Linked DNA regions of Anolis sagrei. The protein of the gene in region 1 interacts with the protein of each later gene in a pairwise test. Links are inferred from orthologs where the notes say so. Each region holds a gene or a part of one and is shown in the gene's direction. Other genes may lie near its edges.

What was found.
Region 2: the proteins of BCAR1 (region 1) and NPHP1 interact in a two-hybrid assay, tested with the Homo sapiens proteins (2 studies listed by BioGRID). The link is inferred for Anolis sagrei from reciprocal best matches to the Homo sapiens genes BCAR1 and NPHP1.

Annotation. Positions count from the first base shown.
Region 1 is NC_090028.1:4,790,787-4,798,860, reverse strand, and holds the start of BCAR1 (breast cancer anti-estrogen resistance protein 1), read left to right. Parts: upstream 1-5,035; 5' UTR 5,036-5,332; coding exon 5,333-5,344; intron 5,345-8,074. UniProt on the Homo sapiens protein: Docking protein which plays a central coordinating role for tyrosine kinase-based signaling related to cell adhesion. Implicated in induction of cell migration and cell branching. Involved in the BCAR3-mediated inhibition of TGFB signaling.
Region 2 is NC_090021.1:23,492,065-23,499,265, reverse strand, and holds the start of NPHP1 (nephrocystin-1), read left to right. Parts: upstream 1-4,094; 5' UTR 4,095-4,176; coding exon 4,177-4,248; intron 4,249-4,616; coding exon 4,617-4,690; intron 4,691-7,172; coding exon 7,173-7,201. UniProt on the Homo sapiens protein: Together with BCAR1 it may play a role in the control of epithelial cell polarity. Involved in the organization of apical junctions in kidney cells together with NPHP4 and RPGRIP1L/NPHP8. Does not seem to be strictly required for ciliogenesis.

The DNA of each region.
Region 1 (8,074 bases):
ATGCCCAGTGTGGAACACATCTCACCACGCTAAAGCAGTGGATGTGGCTCTTAATGAGACATGCCGCATTATCACAGGGTGTCTGCGCCCTACACCACTGGAGAAATTACACTGCTTAGCCGGTATTGCACCACCTGACATCCGCCGGGAAGTGGCAGCCAATAGTGAAAGGACCAAGGCAGAGACATCTCCAGCTCATCCCCTGTTTGGGTATCAGCCAGCACGTCAACGACTTAAATCTATATACATAACAATATAATGTTCGTTTGTAGTATTAACAGAACTCAAAAACCACAGGACGAACTGACACCAAATTTGGACACAAGACACCTAACAACTCAATGTATGTCCTTCACTCAAAAAAATTGATTTTGTCATTTGGGAGTTGTAGTTGCTGGGATTTATAGTTCACCTACAATCAAAGAGCATTCTGAACTCCACCAACGATGGAATTGAACCAAACTTGGCACACAGAACTCCCATGAACAACAGAAAATACTGGAAGGGTTTGGTGGGCACTGTCCTTTGGTTTTGGAGTTGTAGTTCACCTACATCCAGAGAGGATTTCCTCCTTTCCAGGGTCACCGGGGTGGCTTCTTATATTTTTATACATTTTTTCAGTAAAGGGGAATTGGGCAAAAGGGTCAGGAAAAGGTCAGGCACACAGGGAGAAATATAGAAATATAGAAATCATGATATAGAAAACATACCCACTTATCCCTCCCACCAGAGTCCCATAGTCCCCTGGAAGTTGTAGTTTGGAGAAGCACCAGCCCTCTTTGGCACAGAAGGTGAAAAGCCATGTGAAACAACAACTTCCAAAATTCCAAAGCATGGAGCCAGGGCACTCAACGTGGTATCAACTTGCATTCATTCTGCAGTGTGGATACATGCATGCATTGCTTGCTACTGGTTCTTGCATAACTGGGAAGGAGAATCTTGCCTACTGAAATGACTTGTCACAGCAGTGATCAACCATCACCAGACCTGGTTTAAGCTGCATGGGAACAGAGCCCTAAGGCTATTTAAAGCTTTCCATGTGGGAAACACCCAGAGGTGTTCAACTGTGCTGACTATAAAACAGAATACAATCAAAGCAACAGTTAAATAAACAATTACTTTTGTTTATTTATTGAACCATTGGTAAATAAACATTTAAAGAAACAATCGCATCAAAAACATTTATCTGAAATGGTTTTAAAGTGCTTTAGAGATAGTGGGTTAGACTAGGTGACCTTTGGGTGTTCCTAGTACCAACAACAAGAGCAGCAGCACTCTGTGTATTCTCAGGAGTACAACAGCAACAATAGCAATGATATAATGCATGCTCAGGACTACAACACATAGCACCCAACTCTCTTCCTTGCACTGCTCCTGGATTAGACTGGATAGCCATTGGAGAACACTGTTAACAAACAACAACAACAATTGCAATGATATAATGCCTGCTCAGGACTACAACACACAGTATCCAACTCTCTTCCTTGCACTGCTCCTGGATTAGTTGGATACCCCTTGGAGATTCCTGTGAATGATAATAACAAACATACTTTGTGCATGCTTAGGAGTGATTCTCTCTTGCTTGCCCTAAGGGTCAGACTAGGCGACCTTTGGGGATCCCTGCCCATTCCCCCTTACTGGAGAGGCAGGCAGAGGGGAGTTGGAGGGGGAGGCAACGTAGAGGCGTCCTTGCACTGCTCCTGGACTAGACTAGATGACCCTTGGAGATCCCTGTGAACAACAACAACAGCAATGATACACTGTGCACCTTCAAGACTGCAACACATAGCACCCAACCCTTTTCCTTGCACTGCTCCTAGATTAGACAGGATAGCTCTTGGAGATCTCTGTGAACAATAACAACAATAGCAATGATACCCTGTGCATTTTCAGGACTAGAATACACAGTACCCAACTCTCTGCCTTGCACTGGTCCTGGATTAGACTACATGTCAGGTTTTACAATGTATTGTAATGTATTATAGCTGAGTCATGCACTGCTAATGGGCTTCTATTGGAAATGCTGAGTCATGCATTAACTGTATAAAGGGAACTTCATTTGGGGAATGTGTTCTGGCCTAGTCCAGGTGATTGTGAATGATGTAATCCTGGGTCTGAGTTAAGTTAATGAGTTGGGAACCAATCAGAGATTGCTATGTGTAATTGTATAGAATTGTATATAAGGAAGTCATGTACAGTGTATATCTCTCCTTGTGCTGTGATGTTGTTCGTCAAAGGCTCTATGTAATTGATTAAAAGAACCTGTCTGCTAAGACAAGATATAACTGTGTGCTGTGGTAAGTTTGTAATGTCATCTAGACTGGGGGAAAGACAATAGTAAAACTGACAATGGCCAGGCATGTGCTCAAGTGTCTGTAAAAGGTTCCAGAGTGACTGCAGGTTGTGGGAGCAGTTGACTGAAAATACTGTGCAGGAAGAAGCTACTGGAAAGCGCTGAAGTTGTGCAACTGATCTGCTGCTGAATTGTGAAGTTAATCTCAACACTACATAAACCTCTGGGATATCCTGTTAACAACAACAATGATATAATGCATGCTCAGGACTACAACACATAGTACCAAACTCTCTTCCTTGCACTGCTCCTGGATTAGACTGGATAGCCCTTGGAGATCCCTATTAACATCAACAACATCAACAATGATATAATGCATGCTCAGGACTACAACACACAGTACTCAACTCTCTTCCTTGCACTGCTCCTGGATTAGACAGGATACCCCTTGGAGATCCCTGTGAATGATAATGACAATCATACTCTGTGCATGCTTAGGAGGGATACTCTCTTGCTTGCCCTGGGGATAGACTAGGCGACCTTTGGGGATCCCTGCCCATTCTCCCTTACTGGGAAGGCAACGTAGAGGCGTCCTTGCACTGCTCCTGGACTAGACTAGATGACACTTGGAGATCCCGGTGAACAACAACAACAATAGCAATGATACACTGTGCATCTTCAGGACTACAACACACAGTACCTAACTCTCTGCCTTGCACTGCTCCTGGATTAGACTACATAACCCTCTGGGATATCCTGTTAAAAATGACGACAACAATAGCAATGATATAATGCATGCTCAGGCCTACAACACAAAGTACCCAACACTCTGGGTTGTTGTAGGTTTTTTTCGGGCAATATGGCCATGGTCTAGAGGCATTCTCTCCTGACGTTTCGCAAGCATCCTCAGAGGTAGTGAGGTCTGTTGGAACTAGGAAAATGGGTTTATATATCTGTGGAATGACCAGGGTGGGACAAAGGACTCTTGTGTGCTGGAGCTAGGTGTGAATGTTTCAACTGATCACCTTCATTAGTATTTAATGGCTTGGAAGTTCCTGGGGGAATCTTTTGTTGAGAGGTGATTTGATGTGCCTGATTGTTTACTCTCTGCTGTTTTGCTGTTGTAATTTTAGAGTTTTTTTAATACTGGTAGCCAGATTTTATTCATTTTCATGGTTTCCTCCTTTCTGTTGAAATTGTCCACATGCTTGTGGATTTCAATGGCTTCTCTGTGTAGTCCGACATGGTGGTTGTGAGAGTGGTCCAGCATTTCTGTGTTCTCAAATAATCTGCTGTGTCCAGGCTGGTTCACCAGGTGCTCTGCTATGGCTGACTTCTCTGGTTGAAGTAGTCTGCAGTGCCTTTCATGTTCCTTGATGCGTGTTTGGGCAATGCTGCGTTTGGTGGTCCCTATGTAGACGTGTCCACAGCTGCATGGTATACGGTAGACTCCTGCAGAAGTGAGAGGATCCCTCTTGTCCTTTGCTGAACATAGCATTGGTTGGATTTTCTTGGTGGGTTTGTAGATAGTTTGTATGTTGTGTTTCCTCATCAGCTTCCCTCTGCGATCAGTGGTTCCCTTGATGTCTGGCAGGAACACTTTTCCTCTGGGTGGATCTTCATCTTGACTCTTGTGGCTTCTTCTCGGTTGTCTTGCAGCTCTTCCGATGTCTGAGGTGGAGTTTCCATTGGCCTGGAGAGCCCAGTTGAGGTTCAGTTCATCTTGGAGGAGGTGGGCTTCGCAGATCCTTTTTGCACGGTCTGCCAAGGCTTTAATGGTGCTTCTTTTTTGACTTGGGTGATGGTTGGAGTTTTTATGTAGATATCTATCTGTGTGTGTGGGTTTTCTGTAGACGGTGTGACCCAATTGTTGATCTGGTTTGCGGATGACGAGGACATCTAGAAAAGGCAGTCTTCCTTCATTTTCTTTTTCCATAGTGAACTGGATGTTAGGGTGGATGCTGTTAAGATGGTCCAGGAACCTGTTGAGTTCTTCTTCTCCATGGCTCCAAATGGTGAAGGTGCCATCCACATATCTGAACCATATGTTTGGGTGGATGCTGTTAATATGGTCCAGGAACCTGTTGAGTTCTTCTTCTCCATGGCTCCAAATGGTGAAGGTGTCATCCAGATATCTGAACCATATGTTTGGGTGGATGCTGTTCAGATGGTCCAGGAACCTGTTGAGTTCTTCTTCTCCATGGCTCCAAATGGTGAAGGTGTCATCCAGATATCTGAACCATATGTTTGGGTGGATGCTGTTCAGATGGTCCAGGAACCTGTTGAGTTCTTCTTCTCTGTGGCTCCAAATGGTGAAGGTGTCATCCACATCTCTGAACCATATCGTGGGCTTTTTGGTTGCTGTTTCCAGGGCTTGTTCTTCAAAGTGTTCCATGTAGAAATTAGCTATGACCGGGCTGAGAGGGCTCCCCAGAGCTACTCCATCTTTCTGTTCATAGAACTCATTGTCCCACTGAAAGTAGCTGGTGGTGAGGCAATGGTGAAACAGAGCCGTGATGTCTTCTGGGAACCTCTGGTTCCCTGTGAATGATAATGACAATCATACTCTGTGCATACTTAGCAGGGATATTCTCTTGCTTGCTCTGGGGGTCAGACTAGGCGACCTTTGCGGATCCCTGCCCGTTGTCCCTTGCTGGAGAGGCAGGCAGAGAGGAGTTGGAGGCGGGGGCAACGTAGAGGCGCCCTCCCCTTGGCCCTCCTCCTTCCCTCCCTCCTCTTCCTCCTTGGCCCGCCATCCCTGCCGGGTGCCAGGCGGAGGCAGCCTCTCCCCGCCGTCCCATCGCTGCCTCCCGGCGCCGCCTCCTTTTCTCCCGAGCAGCCAATGGAAGAGGCGTCCTAGCCAGCAACTCTCCTGCTTTCTCTGCTCTCTTTTTCCCCTCCTTTGGCTTACATCACTCGCCGGGCTTAGGCGTCGGAGAAGGAGGAGAGGAGGAGGAAGAGAACCGAGCCTGGGACGATGCGTTAAGGGCGCACGGTCACTGCGGCCGCCCCTCCGTTGCGCGCGGCCTGGCCGGGAAGATGAACTACCTGGTGAGGAAAGGGCGACGTGGGGGGAAAGAGGGGGCTCTTAGCTATCCATCGGTGGGTCATTTGTGGGGCTGGGTCGCCGGGCTGGCGAGGGAGAGCCTTCCCTTTTGGGTCCCCCCAGGACCTCTCCAAATGGAGGCCAGGGCGCACGGAATGCGCTTTGGGTAGGCAAGGAGGAAGGCTCTGCTTTCCAAGGAAGGAAAGGGTTTGGCCCCTTAGTCCTTCTCTTGGGGGGGGGGGGGGGCTTCAATCTCTTCTCTAGCCAACGTTTTAGGCTTCAATCTCTTCTCTACCCCCCCCCTCCCTAGTGTTGGCCCCATCTTTGAGAGAAAGGAAAGACAGATCCAAATTGGAAAGGTTTGACTTTGTCCTCAATGCAGTTTGTGACACTACTGTTAACTGCCACAGCTCAATGGTGAAGAGAATCCAGGGAGGTATAGTTTGGGAAGGTCTGGAGCCTTCTCTGTTGGAGTCTTGCCAAACTACAACTCCCAAGATTCCTTAGCATGGTTAAACTGATACTAAACTGCATTTATTCCCCAATGTAGATGCCTTGGAGAAAAAAGAGAAAGCCAAGGCTCTGGGCACTTCGACCTTGGAAGATGGGACTGTGTGTGTGTATTCTCTGTGTGTGTTTTTTGTGCATTTGTGTGCTTTCGGGATTTTGCGTCCTTCCTCAAGCCAAGGTCGGACTTCTTTGGCCCGGGATGGAAACCGGCGCCCATTTTTATGTATTTCCTTAGTGTGTCTGTTGGATTTATATCCGGCCTTTCTCCCAGAATGAGGTTCTGTTTCCCTTCATTCTTTTAACCAACCTTAATCCCTTCCTAATATATACATATTATTCTGAATTTTCAAAAAACACAGATGGGAAGCAAAGAGGGATAGAACAGCGGGTTGCTGTGAGTTCTCTGGGCTGTATGGTCATGTTCCAGAAGCATTCTCTCCTGACGTTTTGCCTGCATCTATCGTTGTGAAGTCTGTTGGAAACTAGGAAAATGGGGTTTATATACCTGTGGAATGATGTCCAAGGTGGGGGAAAGAACTCTTGTCTGTTTGAGGTAGGTTTTTTTTCCGTGTCAGGAGCGATTTGAGAAACTGCAAGTTGCTTCTGGTGTGAGAGAATTGGCCGTCTGCAAGGACATTGCCCAGGGGGCGTCCAGATGATTTGATGTTTTTATCATCCTTGTGGGAGGCTTCTCTCATGTCCCCGTATGAAGAGCTGGAGCTGGTAGAGGGAGCTCATCCGCCTCTCCCCGGATTTGAACCTGCGACCTGTCAGTCTTCAGTCCTGCCGGCACAGGGGTTTAACCCACTGCGCCACTGGGGGCTCAAATGGTTCAATTGGCTGTCTTGATTGGCATTTAATGGCCTAGCGGTTTCAAGGTTTGGCTTCTTACCGCTTTGGGGGATCCTTTGTTGGGAGGTGATTAGCTGGCCCTGATTGTTTCTTGTCCAGAATTCCCCTGTTTTTGAGGCCAACAATAACATTCAGAACCCAAAATCACTGGGTTGTTGTGAGTTTTCCGAACTGTATGGCCATGTTCCAGAAGCATTCTCTCCTGATGTTTGGCTTCGAACCGCTTTGGGGAATCCTTTGTTGGGAGGTGATTAGCTGGCCCTGATGGTTTCTTGTCTGGTATTCCCTTGTTTTTGAGTGCTAATCAAGGAGGCCAACAACAACATTCACAACCCAAAATCACTGGGTTGTTGTGTGTTTTCCGGGCTGTCTGGCCATTTTCCAGAAGCATTCTCTCCTGACGTTTCGCCTGCATATCTCGTAGGTTGTGAGTTTTTTTGGAATAATGTCCAAGGTGTGAGAAAGAACTCTTGTCTCTTTGAGGTAGCTGCGAATGTTTCCATTGGCCACCTTGATTGGCATTCAATGGCCTAGCAGTTTCAAGATTTGGCTTCTTACCACTTTGGGGAATCCTTTGTTGGGAGGTGATTAGCTGGCCCTGATGGTTTCTTGTCTGGAATTCCCCTGTTTTTTGAGTGTTGTTCTAGTGCCAACAACAACATTCACAACCCAAAATCACTGGTTGTTGTGTGTTTTCTGGGCTGTCTAGCCATGTTCCAGAAGCATTCTCTCCTGACGTTTCGCCTGCATCTCTCTCCTGACGTTTCGGCAGGCATCCTCGGAGGTTGTGAGGTTTTTTGGAATAATGTCCAAGGTGGGAGAAAGAACTCTTGTCTGTTTGAGGTAGTTGCGAATGTTTCCATTGGCCACTTTGATTGGCATTCAATGGCCTAGCAGTTTCAAGGTTTGGCTTCTTACCGCTTTGGGGAATCCTTTGTTGGGAGGTGATTTGCTGGCCCTGATTGTTTCTTGTCTGGAATTCCCCTGTTTTTGAGTGTTGTTCTAGTGCCAACAACATTCACAACCCAAAATCACTGGGTTGTTGTGTGTTTTCCGGGCTGTCTAGCCATGTTCCAGAAGCATTCTCTCCTGATGTTTCGCCTGCATATCTCAGAGGTTGTGAGTTTTTTTGGAATAATGTCCAAGGTGGGAGAAAGAACTCTTGTCTGTTTGAGGTAGATGCGAATGTTTCAATTGGCCACCTTGATTGGCATTCAATGGCCTAGCAGTTTCAAGGTTTGGCTTCTTACCGCTTTGGGGAATCCTTTGTTGGAAGGTGATTAGCTGGCCCTGATGGTTTCTTGTCTGGATTTCCCCTGTTTTTGAGTGTTGTTCTAGTGCCAGCAACAACATTCACAACCCCAAATCACTGG
Region 2 (7,201 bases), on another chromosome or scaffold:
GTTATTCTTCATACTTCTTATCATCCTTGTTGCCTTTTTCAACCTGCTTCAACATGCCCATATCCTTAAAATATGGTGCTTAGAATGGAACACAATACTCTATAGAAAGACTTCTTAAGTTTTTCCACTCATAACCCCTTTTGGCCAATACATTTTTATGTGACACCGGGTATGTAGGCATTTAAAATATGCATTAATCTAACATCTACGGATAAAATCAGTATTTGCAAATATTGCTAAAGAGGCTGATTTCCTTTTTACGAAGCACAGATGAAACACAACATGTAAATGACTAAAACAGCCATTATGTGATGGCCAGAAAACCTTTACTGTTGCCAGTTTTAGGGGACTCCATTTGTGTTTGGTATCCATAGTTAAAGAGGCAGTGTTCTAGGTGAGGCCTGATTGTTGTAATTACTGGAATCTGAAGAATCAATTCAGGACAGGAGCAGCATTTATTTCAGAAGGTGAGTGGGGGCCCTTCTACACTGCCATATAATCTAGATTATCAAAGTAGGTAACCCACATTATCTGCTTTGAACTGGATTTTATGAGTTTACAGTACCATATAATCCAGTTCAAAGCAGATAATCTGGATTTTATATGGCAGTGTAGGGTCCCTTCCACACAGCTGTATAAAATCCACATTGAACTGAATTATCTGGCAGTGTGGACTCAGATAACTAAGTTCAAAGCAGATATTGAATATAATGTAATACAATAATAATACAATATAATATTGTAATATAATGATATTAATATATTAATATTAATTATTAATATTTATATATTAATTACTAATAATATATAATATACTGTTTTATTATGGTATATTTGTAGTTGTAATTTTTTTTTATTGTGAACCGCTTTGAGTCTCCATATGGAGAGATAAAGTGGGATTTAAATAAATAAACAAAATATTGTAGATTATCTACCTTGATATTCTGAGTTATATGGCTGTGTGGAAGGGCCCTAGAAGGGGCTGGGGGTCCTTCCACACAGCCATATAAATCAGAATATCAAGGCATATCATCACAATATCTGCTTTGAACTGGATTATCTGAGTCCACTCTGCCAGATAATCCATTTCTATGTGGATTTTATACACCTGTGTGGAAGGGACCTAAGCCTTGGGTTTGCTTTGGTTAATACTTGAATAGGAAGCCACCAGTGAATACCAAGGGCTGTAGGCTATCTTTCAGATGGAGTTCACAAAACCATCGCTGAGAATGCCTGCCTAAGAAAAATGGATAGTGATTTAAATACACACACACACAATCATATATATGTAAAAACCAAAGTATCTTGTGTATGTTGATACTATGAAGGCTCCTACATGTTTGGTGGATCTGGACTATATTAGGAACACATACCCTTCATTATCCAACTTAAGATAAAATAAGGCTGTTAAGAATTGTGGGAACTGAAGTCCAAAACACCTGGAGGGCCCAAGTTTGTCCATGCTTTGATTAGAACATTAAAAACCCATACCTTTTGAGCCCAGAATTGAGGGAAATAAAAGGAACAAAACAGATTGGCTGGTGCTAGGTGAAATGTCCTGTGACAAGTAATGGAAAAGGGAGCAAAGCAGATTCACTGCTACTAGGTGACCTGTGTATAAAGGCATTGAGGGAGGAAAAGAAAGGGAGAAGGAGAGATGGAAGGGGAAGACAGAAAAAGAACAGAAGGAAGAGAAAGAGAGGGGAGAAGGGTACAAAAAGGGAGGGAAGAAAGAAAAACAAGGGAAGATGAAAGTAGAAGGGGGAAGGTGTATGTAGGAAAAACAAGGAAAGAAGAGTGAAGGACTGGGGCCTCTGCCACCTAGCTGAATAAAATCATACATCATATGCTTTGAACTGAGATATATGGCAGTGTGGACTCAGCCCTTCCACACAGCCCTATAACCCAGAATATCATGGCAGAAAATCCCAAAATATCTGCTTTGAACTGGGTTACCTGAGTCCACACTGCCATATATCTCAGAGAGAATGGGGCAGAAGACAGTTCCATCTTGTCTCCTGCCTATATCATCAGTTTCGAGGCCTCCCCCCCCCCCCCCCGGCACCAACTGCTGCTCTGGGCCAGAGTGAAGAGAGTGGGGGGCAGAAGACCGTTCCATCTTGTCTCCTGCATATATCATCAGTTGGGAGCCCCCGGCACCAACTGCTTTTCTGGCTAGAGTGAATAGAGAGGGGGCTACAGTTGAAGACAGTTCCATCTTGTCTTCTGTGCTTTACTAATAATATAATATATTGTACATTCATATAATATTTATAATATTATAATGTAATACAATATACTACTACTAATATAAAATTACCCCCTCGATGGACCGTCACCTTGTCGTGGTGAGGGGGCTTGCGTGTTCCAATGAACCTGCGAGCACAATGACTGGAGTCATGCACTCCCAGGAGTGGCCGTGGGGGAGGTTCCAGACCAAGCACAGTCCGAAGACCCAAAGACTTTTTTTCTTTTATTGGGTTTTTTTCCCACTCCCACCCTTCCCTCCTTGTATATACAATTTATACATCAAACTACAGAAGTTACATTTGAAATATCAGTCTCAGTCTTAATTTTTCTACTCCACATCTTAACACATTTTCTAAATAATTCCAAAGACTTCAACAGCGGAGCAGACGGAGGATAACATGGTACATGTTACAACGGCTGTGAAGGCGGAAGAAGGCTGCAACAGATTGAGAATCATAGAATCAAAGAGTTGGAAGAGACCTCATGGGCCATCCAGTCCAACCTCCTGCCAAGAAGGACTATTGCATTCAAATCACCCCTGACAGATGGCCATCCAGCCATCTGTCAGGGGCCATGGTGATCTTGGTAAACTATGCCACCCGAGGAGCCTCACTTTATATTACACGTAATATTACTAATAATGTTATAATATAATGGCGTAGTACAATATAGTAATATATAATACCCATATTGTACTATGCTAATAATTTAATATATGAGGTCACAGAGTTGGAAGCGACTGAACAAATGAACAACAACAATGTATATATACATTAGCTGCTCTGAGTCCCCTTCGGGATGAGAAGGGCGGCATATACATGTCATAAATAAATAAATTCCAGTTCAAAGCAGAGCGTCATACAGGGAGCATACCACCCCTCTGCTATGTCAGCTCCACTGGCTGCCGATCCAATTCCGAGCACAATTCAAAGTGCTGGTTTTGTCCTACAAAACCCTATATGGTTCCGGCCCAGCGTATCTGTCCGAACGGATCTCCCTCTACGTCCCGCCTCGGAGTTTAAGATCTTCTGGGGAGGCCCTGCTCTCGGCCCCGCCTCCATCACAAGCAAGATTGGCGGGGATGAGGAGCAGGCCTTCTCGGTGGTGGCCCCTCACCTGTGGAATTCTCTCCCTGGGGAAATTAGATCAGCGACATCCCTCCTTTCCTTTAGAAGGAAATTAAAAACATGGATTTGGGACCAAGCAGATGAATAAAGGACTACGACGACCGATAAGAATAGATAATGTAGAACGAAATATAGACTGAGTTGGCGAACGCTGAGCTTGAGATTGGTTTATTGACTGTGATATATATTGATTGTTTTAACAGTCTTAATTGTTTTAATTGCTGTTTTACACATTTATTTGTATTATTGTGTAGGCATCGAATTGTGCCTTTTTGCAAGCTGCCCTGAGTCCCCCGTAGGAGGTTGAGAAGGGCGGGGTAGAAGTACACGAAATAAATAAATAAAATAAATAATGTAGGATTTTCTGCCTTGATATTCTGGGATATAGGGCTCTGTGGAAGGGCCCTCAGATATTCCAGTTCAAAGCAGATATTGTGGGATTTTCTGCCTTGACATTCTGGGTTATATGGCTGTGTGTGGAAAGGTCCATGGAGTATGAAGGAAAGGGAGGAATGAATGAAAGAGCCACCAACAGAACACAACAAGTCTTTGGTTATCTTTTATTTCCTTTCCTCCTTGAAAAGGTCAGGAGTTCATTTTTCCTCCCTATGGAGGCAACATCCTTTCTGGGCTGGGACTTGGGATTCACCCTGTTTTATCATTCAGCTGCTCTTCTTCCTTTTCCTTGTGGTGGCGCGCACGGATGACGCCATCAGCGGGCGCCGCAGCATGCGTTGCCTTGGCGACCAGCGGCGGCCTAGTTCCTCCCTGGAGTTCGCAGAGGGAGGCCTTCCTCGGAATGGCCAGTCGCCGGAGCCGGACGGGCCCGCTGCAGAGCGCCCTGTGCCGGGGCAGAGAGCTCCGGGAGCAGGTTTGGACCTGGGTTACTTCCCGCGGGATGGGAGAGGAGAAAGAGGAAGGGTGCAATGGCGGCTCTTCTCACAGCACAAGAGACAGACAGGCCTGGGCCAACTTGGGCCCTCCAGGTGTTTTGGACTTCAACTCCCACAATTCCTAACAGCCGGTAGGCTGTTAGGAATTGTGGGAGTTGAAGTCCAAAACACCTGGAGGGCCCAAGTTGGCCCAGGCCTGTACTAAATGCTACACCTTCAGTTGAGTAATCTGTAATGGCTCTAAACAAGCTCCCAATGCTTTTGGGAGTTCTTTCTTGTTAAGTTTTACATACACATAACTATTTTTGCATGACTGAATGCATCTCTATTTTACTATATATTTTAGGTCAATGCTTTGCTTCAAGAAAGCAAGGAAGCCGGAGCCCAAGACTCAGAGAAAAGGAGAAGCCTGTACCAGAGGTATTTATTTATTCACAGCGACGTTTATTGTCATAAGCTGTCTTTAATATAGGTCTAAATATTTTGGGGATAATGGTGACATGTATTTTGAATTCTCAAGTTTGATATGTTTTGCCGAAAATGTGATCCTACCCTTTGATAAACAGTATTTATTAATTTATTTACTGTACTAGCCATTCCTTTCTACGTGTTGCTGTAGCCCAGTCTATGTATATTTGTTTTGTGTGTGTATATATGTGTGTATATTTGTATATTTGTATTTATGTGTGTTTGCATGTGGATTTGCGCATACATTGTCATTTATTTTTTGTTTTTTGGCTTTTTAAGTCTCTTCTGCTGTGTTTTCCAATGTTTTATGAGTGATGGTCACTTGGCCTGCTAGGTGTCTTGTGTCCAAATTTGGTGTCAATTCATCCAGTGGTTTTTGAGTTATGCTAATACCACAAACGAACATTACATTTTTATTTATATAGATTTCTGCCCCACTCTTTCTCACCTCAGAGGGAACTCAGAGCGGCTTCCTATTTTGGCAATTATTCAATGCCACATTGAAACATAAAAGCATTCAAATACACAACACATTGAACTATAAAATCAAAGTAAAGTATATAAATACGATTAAAAAACTGTTAAAACATTGCACCTAATCCCATAATCATAGTCCAAGCTGCTTCATTTATTTTTACTCCATGGATGTATGTTGCACTGTGGTTGTGCTATTCCCCAAATGCCTGGTTCCACGGCCAAGTTTTTACTTTATTTCTTAAAACCAGGAGGGAGGATGCCAATCTTGATATTCTCCAAAGCTGTATGTGTCTTGATATTCTCCAAGGCTGTGTGTATAGAGAGGGATTCCTAAATGTTTGTTCTAGGGAGTTAAGTCACTTTATATGTGGTGTAAAGAGGAAAAACACCTGTTCTTTTATCTTTCAAAGTCTGAAATTTGTAAAGCAAAGAGTGCTTGGTACTTTCATAGTATTCCAACATTTGAAAACAGAATTGTGGAAATTAGCATGGACATCTTCCATACAAGTTTAATAGAGCTTTCCCATGTCTGTGTGATGCAACCAATTGAGAAATGACATTTATAACCCTGGAGCCAAAAATCATGTTACATACTATAATAGGCAAGTATATAACAGTTAAAGTGTGTACTAAGATTTAAAAAATTACAAACCGGAAGCTGCAACTGGTTTAGAGATCTGAGGCCATATTACTAACTGGGGCTCCGAACAGGGAAATAACCACTTCCATGTTGCAGCCGCTACACTTGTTGCCAGATTACTTCTGGGCTAAATTCAAACTGCTGGTTATTACCTTAAAGCCCTAAACAGTTCGGACCCAGACTATCTAACAAATCACATCTCCTTGTACAAGCCTGCCCAGGCTCTTTGATCAGTGGAGGAGGCCCTGCTCTTAGTCCCACCCCATCTCAAGCACAGCTGGTGAGAACAAGAGAGGGGACCGTCTCTGTGATCACTCCCGCCTTTGGAACTCTCTTCCTAAAAAGGTTGAAACAGCTCCCTCTTTAACTTCCTTTAAAAAACAACTTAAAACTTCCTTATGTGCTCAGGCATATAAAACCGAGAAGGCTTGGTATCTTATATGGATTACTCACTCTGGTTGCTGGCAGTAGTTAATTTCATGACTCTTCCATTTTATTGATGGATTATTACGGAATTGTAAATGTTGTGTGTTATTATTGAGGTTTTTTTTTTTTTTTTGGTTTAAATGTGAATCTGTGAGGCCTTTGGGTGGGATGGTTATTTATGTATTTTTCTTTTGTATGGCATTGAATTCAAAGCAGATAATCTGGATTTTACGTGGCAGTGTAGATAGGGCCTGGGCAACAAAGATTATGGGTAATTCCCAAGTGGGCCAACTGCAATCTAGAACTGTGTTATGATTATCCAGAAGAGGGAGCAGTTGGGACGTTTGACTGTGTTTTCTCAGTCAGGGAACATAGTACAGTGCTATGGGGTTTCTCAGAGCTGTTCCACACAGCCATATAACTTAGAATATCAAGGCAGAAAATCCAACAATACCTGCTTTGAACTGGGTTGTCTGAGTCCACACTGCAGTATATTCCAGTTCAAAGCAGAAAATGTGGGATTTTCTTCAGCTGTGTGGAAGGGGCCTCAGTCACAACATATGTGCAGAAAGACATGATAAACCGGAAGGACTGATGTGTGCACATATAAACCAACAGTCAGAATGCTCCACTGCTATCCCCTAGCCAAGAGAGCTGTAGTGGCATTTCTGCAAAGTAGCAAATTGTACGGCTGGTCTAGTAAAAGTTAAGGACAAAGCAACATTTTGGCTATGAGAACTGTCTTTGTGTCTGCTTATATAAAATATAGAATCATAGAATCCATGAGTTGGAAGAGACCTCATGAGCCATCCAGTCCAACCCCCTGCCAAGAAGCAGGAAAATTGTATTCAAAGTACCCCTTTGATTTTGTAACCTTTGATTTTGTTGTAGATGTTTGGAGTTGAAGAGATCTGTGGATG